Canis lupus familiaris: one gene and its partner. The protein of the gene in region 1 interacts with the protein of each later gene in a pairwise test. Links are inferred from orthologs where the notes say so. Each region holds a gene or a part of one and is shown on either strand. Other genes may lie near its edges. The genes, in order: ZMYM2 and FOXP1.

What was found.
Region 2: the proteins of ZMYM2 (region 1) and FOXP1 come close enough for resonance energy transfer, tested with the Homo sapiens proteins (2 studies listed by BioGRID). The link is inferred for Canis lupus familiaris from reciprocal best matches to the Homo sapiens genes ZMYM2 and FOXP1.

Annotation. Positions count from the first base shown.
Region 1 is NC_049246.1:18,147,548-18,151,357, forward strand, and holds part of ZMYM2 (zinc finger MYM-type protein 2), read right to left. Parts: intron 3,560-3,810; coding exon 3,444-3,559; intron 2,513-3,443; coding exon 2,341-2,512; intron 653-2,340; coding exon 527-652; intron 1-526. UniProt on the Homo sapiens protein: Involved in the negative regulation of transcription.
Region 2 is NC_049241.1:20,573,739-20,578,339, reverse strand, and holds the start of FOXP1 (forkhead box protein P1), read right to left. Parts: upstream 2,997-4,601; 5' UTR 2,627-2,996; intron 1-2,626. UniProt on the Homo sapiens protein: Transcriptional repressor. Can act with CTBP1 to synergistically repress transcription but CTPBP1 is not essential. Plays an important role in the specification and differentiation of lung epithelium.

The DNA of each region.
Region 1 (3,810 bases):
CAACATATCAAACTTTTCTTAAAATAAAATGCTTTACATTCTATTGGATGTGATTAGTCATCAATAAATTTAGGAAAATAATGAAAAACAGAACATATCTCTTTCACAAAAAAAGACTTGAAAATACTTTTTTTCCCCTTGAAGGTGAAACTTAATTTTTAAAAAAGCTTATGAAAAATACTATCAACAGTTTATTTAATTTTTTAAAAAGAAACAACCACTTCTTTATCCTTTTCTCTATCTACAAAGTTTTCTATAATGAATTACATTAGGAAAGTATCTTTTTAGGCTCTAAAAATTTAGAGAATTTCTAAAGAAATTCTCTTCAAGTTTCTTCAATTCAATCCTATAGCCCATTTCAGAAATTAACTGTTGAATTTTGTTTGGGTAAAAAAAGACAAATATAAACAGTAAAGGTAATAGCACAAACATTAAATGATTAACAATCATAACCACAGTTATGATTCCGTAACTAAATTCCACAACCATAGTTTACACTTAAAGAATAAAAGAGCATTTTGAGTACCTCTGGGGAAATCTATTTCAATATCCAAATCTGGTTCATATGGTACATCAGGCATATTCGACTGTGTCTCCGGGTCAGAGTTCTTCAAGAGATCTGAACCAATTATGTCGGTTTCAATAATTACACCTGTAATCAAGTCATAATATAAAAAAATCAAAACAGAAGAACTTAAAAGTACCTTTATTTAACCTAGCAAAAGAAGTCATTTAATTTTAAATATAAAACAAGAATTAACACATTAATGTCACAAAAGGAAAAGGTATATATAGCTATCTTGAAATGTAACTACTATAAATTTTGTTATTGTTAGATAAGCAAGCATTAGCACATGGAAACTTTTAATCCTTTAACTGCCTCTTTTCAAAGGTTAACAGGTATGCTTTGATAAACAACCCTGGTATGCAGAGTATTTCTAGAAGCAATCTCTCATGAAAAATAAACTAATAAGGGTGGATAATGCCATTTTCAACAGTTTTTGAATTATGACCTAAGTTTTTCATTACAACTGCTTTCCAACGTTTTGATCAGTTGTTTTCAGTTTTATAAATTTTTTTTTATTTTTATTTATTTATGATAGTCACACCACAGAGAGAGAGAGAGAGGCAGAGACACAGGCAGAGGGAGAAGCAGGCTCCATGCACCGGGAGCCCGACGTGGGATTCGATCCCGGATCTCCAGGATCGCGCCCTGGGCCAAAGGCAGGCGCCGAACCGCTGCGCCACCCAGGGATCCCTGTTTTCAGTTTTATATTACAACCCACAGAAAGATATGCATTTTATCCATTTGAAGGTGGTGATGGGAGACAGAAAGACAAATATAGATACACATACAGGAAACAAAAGTTTCACAAAACAATATCCTTTCGATGAGATTCACACTAACATTTTCCCATTTCACTTCATTAAAAAACAAACAAAACCACTGGTTGCAACCCACTAAATTAATCTGTAACAAAGTCCTCAACAAACACTGTCACATTATGAAACACACAGAATTTATACTGCTTCTATTGTATTCTAGGGCAAAGGAGATTAGGCAGTTTTGTGGTTGAAATAAGACTGTGGGGGATCCCTGGGTGGCGCAGCAGTTTGGCGCCTGCCTTTGGCCCAGGGCGTGATCCTGGAGACCCGGGATCGAATCCCACGTCAGGCTCCCGGTGTATGGAGCGTGCTTCTCCCTCTGCCTGTGTCTCTGCCTCTCTCTCTCTCTCTCTCTCTCTCTCTCTATGTGACTATCATAAATAAATAAAATAAAAAAAAATTAAAAAAAAAAAAAAAAAGAAAGAAGACTGTGGGTAATACCAAAAAAGTAAGGGTAGGAATAAATATTCTAAGAGAATCATCTATAACATACTTATGTTACATTTGGCAAACACTGCCCTAACAGAAATTAGGATAAACCCTGGTTTAGATAATGCAAATTATTTTATTAAGTATAGCCAACAAAACAAAATTGGGGATAACCATTACAAAATAAGAGTTTGGATCATTATTAAAGTCTACTACAAGTTTTTTTTGTCTGAGCTAGTACATTAAAACAGGAATTCTGAGTTGATTTTACAAGTCAAATTCTGTTCCAATTAAAACAGGGACCTTAAAAATTCCTGCTTGAAATTGGGCATGGCATAAGAGACAGCATGTGCCTAGAAAGAGTATGGATCTCTTAATACAAAAATACGTTTTTGTTGCAATACTTCCCCCACTCCTATATCAAGTTGAAACATAATGATATGTCCTGCAACATACTATAATAATTACAACATTTATTGAAAACCAATGATACACATTCACAAGGTGAAATATAGTGCAGCTCACTGTTAATGTTGGCAGCTTCTGTTTTCCCCTCATCTTCAGTCATCATATCTGTCATTGTAAGCAGCTCTGTATCAAGAGGATCTGAAGAAACTTTGCTTTTTAGATCTTCAATGGCTGCAGGGATCTTCTCATTGCTATCCAATGAGGCAGGCAGAAAAACAGGAACCGGCACCTAATTAACCAAAGTATTTACTGTTAGGTTCACTCAACATTAGAAGGTAATTTTCCTGGGAGGGCAGGGGAAGCCAGTCTGGTACAGTCAGTGGAGGGTGTGGAGATTACTTAAAATTAAAATCTTTAGGGGCACCTGGATGGCTCAGTCAGTTAAGAGTCTGCCTTTGGCTCAGGTCATGATCTCTGGGTCCTGAGACTAAGCCCTCACATAGGCTGCTTAGCAGGGAGCCTGCTTCTCCCTCTCCCTCTCCGCTTTTCCCTTTTCTCCCTGCTCTTGCTCCTGCTTTCTCTCTCTCATTCTCTAACAAATAAATAATTTCCCAAATTAAAAATTATTCTAACACATGATCTTTATAATACCACAGTGGATAAAAGTTTTGGAAAAAACACATACCAAAACTAAGATGTCAACTATAACACAGCCCAGAAAACAAGCAGCCTTTTTTTTTAAATAAAAATTAAAGAAAAATAGTATTTGAGGTTCTTCAGTTTCCCAGGAGACTATGGCATCCAAGTCCTGGCATAATGTCTTTACTGCAAGTGACTTAGGACAAAATAATGTAATGATAATTTATATGAAATTTTATTCCATGTTTCAATTTTAAACCTTACAACTTCACAAATATTTTTCTCTAAAATGAACTCAAATAGAAAACACTACATATATGCATAAAGCACACAAAGGCATTTGCTAAACTTCACCTTTAAAGATGAACATATAAAAAATAAAAAAATAAAGACGAACATATACTTGATTAAACACAAAGCAAACATTGACAGAGATTCAACCAAACCTTATTTAAATGGTAAAGGCAAAGACTCAACCCTCTGTTCTACCGGCTTCACTAATGTAGGAATTACAACATTGTTCTCCTATCTAATGCCTGATAAACCTCGAAATGAAAAAAAAAACTTAAAATCTGACTTACAGGAACAGGAACTGTAGTAGGAACAGGAATATTCTGACTGTACATGTGCATAGGTACTGGGATATACACAGGTACAGGAATAGGCACTGGAACATACTCTGTTTTCCAATTATCATCTAAAAATACAAAATGTGTTTAAGAAGCAATATTAAATAACACTTAATACATAGTTACTCAATGTTAAAATAATTTGGTAACAAAGAAAAATTTAAGTTAAGCCTCAGTTCCCTTTTAAAAGAAATTAGGTACAGTTTCACAAATTTAAGTACAGTAAAAACAATAAAACTAAATACAGTAATTTTTAATAAAGAGCAAAAACAGAATTTAGCCCCCTTTTTAATACAAAGAAAACATCCTTTAAAAACAC
Region 2 (4,601 bases), on another chromosome or scaffold:
TCCATGTGTATGTTTAACTCGCATTGTTTAATTATACAATAAAAGATAGATCCAATAAAAGCTACACACTTTGAAACATGTTGGGCACTATGGTTATGAAACTCTGACATAAAAAAACATAAAGTGCTTACTGTGTGATGGACACGTTAATTAAAAATGCAATCCTTAAATGGCAATCATTTTTATTCTTCTTTACGTGTTTACTTGCCCTATTTCCTACTTTGTTCTACTTAATTAAAAATGACACTTAATTTGGGGATAGTTATAACAAAAAAAAATAGTGTTGCAGTTTTTACTCCACTATTTAAATATAAACACAAAATCTTACAGACACATCTCCAGCAATATAACCTCCTTAATTTGAGACAGTTAATTTGAATAGTTGATGTTGCTTTCATTATACTTTGATAAACCTGTGAAAACAAAATGCTAAAGTAATTGCTGTTACTACTCCCTTTAAAAATGTAAAGCAGTTAAATTTTCCTAGACAACAAGCAAGGACAAGTTACAGAGAACTTGAATAAAAGTAGCAACGTGGTCATGTTGAATGTCAATCTAAAAAAAGAGGTTATGTCTAATCTGGAGAATGCTCCCTCTCGCCTTTTTAAATTCCAAGAGTGGGCTGACACAAAACTTCATCACCAGGGAATTTTTTTTTTTTTTTTTTTTTTTTTTTTGAGCTTCACATCAGATTTAAACCCTCACATACAAAACCTTGGCTTTCCTGACAAGGCAGATCTTCTAAACTTGATGTGAGAAAACGTTACCTAACTCTAGTGTAGGAGTCTGATGTTGGTAAAAAGAATTCCACTCCACAGTTCTGGGTAGCAAGGCAGCCTCTGGAAGACTTAATATTCATTCCATACCTTTTTGCGTGCATGCTCTTCATAAGCAAGACTGTATTAGAAAAATAACTTATTGAGCAACTCGACATCCATAAGGAACTCAAATGCTGCCTAGAGTGGAGCGGAGTATTTCCTTCCAAGTGAGCCTTAGCTTGCACAACAAAGATCAGCATTTGCAATGGTCCATTTCTGCATTAGTGAATATATAGCTTTGCTGCTTGATCGAATAGTCCAGAGTTCTCCATGTAGAGCTCCTGACAACAACCCAGCAGTAGTTCTGTTTGATCTCTCCTGCTTCCTTAATTTGGGTTGTCAAGGTTCAGCAGTTGGAGGCTGTTTACTTTACTTTTCCAAAAAAAAAAAAAAAAAAAAACTGATTTCTTTTTCTCTCTCATACAATGACTAATCCAAAGTCTAAGGAGGGAAAAATGCTGCCAGTGGTAAGATGCTAAACCTTCCCCCCCACCACCACCCCTTTGCAGTGAGACTTTAGCTGACATCTTTTGAATGGTAACTAGTTGAGTTTCTTTTTATATTTTTAATGCTCTTTAATTATGAGATGTTTCAAGTAGAAAAGTCAGGGAGAGAGAGAGAAAAAAAAAAAAAACATTCCAAATCTCTGAAACTGTAAGCCCAATTTTCTTTTCCTGGACTCAAAGAGATGGGTATTTCCACTTTGAGAATCAAAACTCCAGTGGAATTCTAAAAAAGATTTGATACATTTCTCTCTGGAACTGAAAATAATTGCAACTCCTCTGTCTCAATTATGCAGGCTAACCCTGAGTAGAAAACACCTGAAGTCTTACCATTTCTCTCCTAATTCTAGTTAAGACATCTCCCCTCAAACTGATTATCACTATGGAAAAACGAAGGAAAGGAGATGGAAGGTAAAAATTTGCAGAGATTCTTCAATATATTTTCAGCAGCAGAAAAATCCCTTAAATATCCTTCAAGTTTTTTTTTTTTTTCCAACTCATCTATTGTGCAAGCCCTAAATCCTAAAGCCTACGGACAACCAAAGGTAAAGTGTAGATGGTTTCAAGGTATAGACTCCTTTTAAAAGGAATACAGAATGCCCTTCCAGCATTCCTGTTTACAAAGCAGCAACAAAAAAGGAAATCCGAACTTGCAAAATACCTGTGACCGGACAGGAGAGCAACACCAGCTCCTTATAAGAAGCTTAAATGCAACCAAATGAAATGTTTATATTAATTTCATTATTCTGCCCAGGCGTCAGAGATGAGAGCTTGGGGGGTGGGGGGGCGTTGGGGGGGGGGGCGGGGTGTTGGGAAGAGGAAGAAATAAGTTTCATTTCGGGTTTTCTGGTCGAGCAAAGGAAAATGAATTAAAACGAATGCGTAGGATGAGCCCAGACTAAATCAATACACTTTGTAATCAGCCAGGCAAGGGTATTTGGACACAATGACTTGGAAATAATTAATAGTTATAAGAGGGGAGTGGGGTGAGAAGGGGGGACGAGGGATGTCACCATATTTTATCGGAGCACTTTACATTCCACGCTAAACTTTGATCTCCAGATTCTCGGATTTAGGAAAGAGAAGGGGAAGGAGGAAAAAAAAAAGAGAGAGAGAGAGAGAGAAAGTCCAGTATTCCGAGGCACCTACCAGCTTGAGGATGGGCACATTCCTGGCTCCGGGCGCCTCATCCCTACGCTCGCGCCGCCCATGCTGGCCCTTTGGGGAGAGAGCCCCGGGGGCTCTGGGGTCTCCGCAGCCCCCGCCCGCGTCCTCGCCCCGGTGCCCGCGGCCGCCTCGACTTACCCGCAGAGTCCGGGGAGGGAGTGGGAGCGCCGCCTTCACGCCCGCGGAGGAGGCGCCGGCAGCACCATGGTCCCCGGCGCCGCTGCCGCTGCCCCTTGCCCGCTGGCTCGCTGCGCGCTCTCTTCCTCTTGCAAACTTTCGGGTTCTGCGGTCGACAAGAAACCAGGGCGACCCTCAGCAAGGCTTCCCGGCGCAGGTTGGGGGGAACTGAGGGAGGGGGAGTGGGACAAGTGATTAGGCTGGGGGGCCCGGGCAGACGGGGCGGCGGACCAGGAGGACCCGCCAGTGCGGGCGGACGGCGAGGAGGATGTGGCTTAGGGAATCCCTGCAAGGATCCCGAGACCGGGAACTCGGCCCGAGCCAAAGTCTCAGCACCTTCCCCAGGATCTTACAAAGTTGCAACAACAAAAAAGGAGGGGGGAGGACGGGGGAAGGGGGTGGGAAAGGCATACGATCGCAGGCACAAGGTTTGAAGTTACAACTGTTTATTTAGTCCTTATTCTCACAGGGGCGGGAGCTGCGCGGGAAGGGGGGGGGGAGGTGTGCTGCAGGCTGCGATTTCGAAGCAAACACTGGGGAGGGGGCATGCGACTTTGTTTCTGGGCGCGGAGCTCCCCGGCGCCCGCGTGTGTCACCGCCAGTCTCCGGGGACCGAGGCGGAGCTCACAACAGGTGGGGAGGGGGACTCGCCGAGGGCCAAAAAGGAGAAGGAATCAAAGTTTCCGAGCGGCGGTATCTGGGGACGAGGGGGGGGGGGGGGCGGGAGGCGGGGGCGAGGGGAGGCGGAGGCAGCGAATGACCGCGACCCCGCGGCAACTGGCGAACTCTCGGCTCCCGGCGCCGCCGTCCCCGCCCGGAGCGCACGCAGCCCCGGCGGCCGGCACAGCGGAGTCCTCCGCGGGATGGGGATGGAGCGCGGGGAGCTGCGGAGGCAGGCGGCGTGCTGGCGAGGGATGGAGAGCCGCGGCCGCCGGGACGGGGCTGCAGGGACGCGGCGGCTCCCGCGCGCCTCCGGACACATCCAGGCTTGGGAAACCCCCCGCCCCGGTACCCCAAGCTTCAAAGGAGAGCAACCCCCGAAAGTATGTGTGATGGAGGGGAGGAGACCCGACGCGGCGACTCCCCGCAGCGCACCCCGTTCCCACTCCCACCCGCGGAGCTGGCCGGTCCGCGCCAAGGCTGGGTGCTCGGGCTCGAGCGCGCGTGAGGGTGCGTGTCTAGCCGGGGGTGCGCGAGCGTGTGTCCGAGTTTTCTGTGCTCGGGGGCGGGGGGGGCGGCGGTGGAGCGTCCCCGCGGCCAGGTTCGGGGCCAGGCGCGCGTGGCACCGGGGATGTCCCGAGGCGCGGGGCCCGGGGTGCGGGCATCCCGTCCTTACGATCCAGGGGCACGGAGGGGCACACACTCGCGGAGAGCGGAGGGAAAAAGTTTGCTCCAAGTCCAAACTTCGGGCTCCCGAGGCTCCCGGCGCGCGCCCCCTCCCGCCACAGACGCGACCCCCGGCCCCGCGCCGGCCCTGCTCCTCGCCTGGCACCCAGACGCCCGACATCGAAAGTTGCGCCAGGCGGCCTGGGCTTATTGATGCCTCTCCCCGCGGCGATCGCCCAGCGCGCAGAGCCAGGCGTGAAGAGGCCGAGGGGGAAGGCGATTTCGCCTCCCCGCCGCCGTCGCCGCCCCCCCCCCCACCCTCATTTGACTTATGGAAATGGACCCAAGCGTGCGGGCGCCGCCGCCGAAGGCCCCCCCCCACCCTCGCGCCGGCCCCAACCCCCCCCCCCCCACGACACACACACACACACACCCCAGAGCCTGGGCCCGGGCCCGGGGGAGAGAGGCTGAGAGGGGAGGGCGGGGGGGAGATGCACGTGGAGCCTGGAGGTGGAAAGTAGTTTTTTTTTTTTTTTTTTTCCTTTTTTTCGTTTTCCTTTTTTTTTTTTTTTTTTTTTTTTTGGTGCTGGTTGTTGTTGTTGTTTAAAGT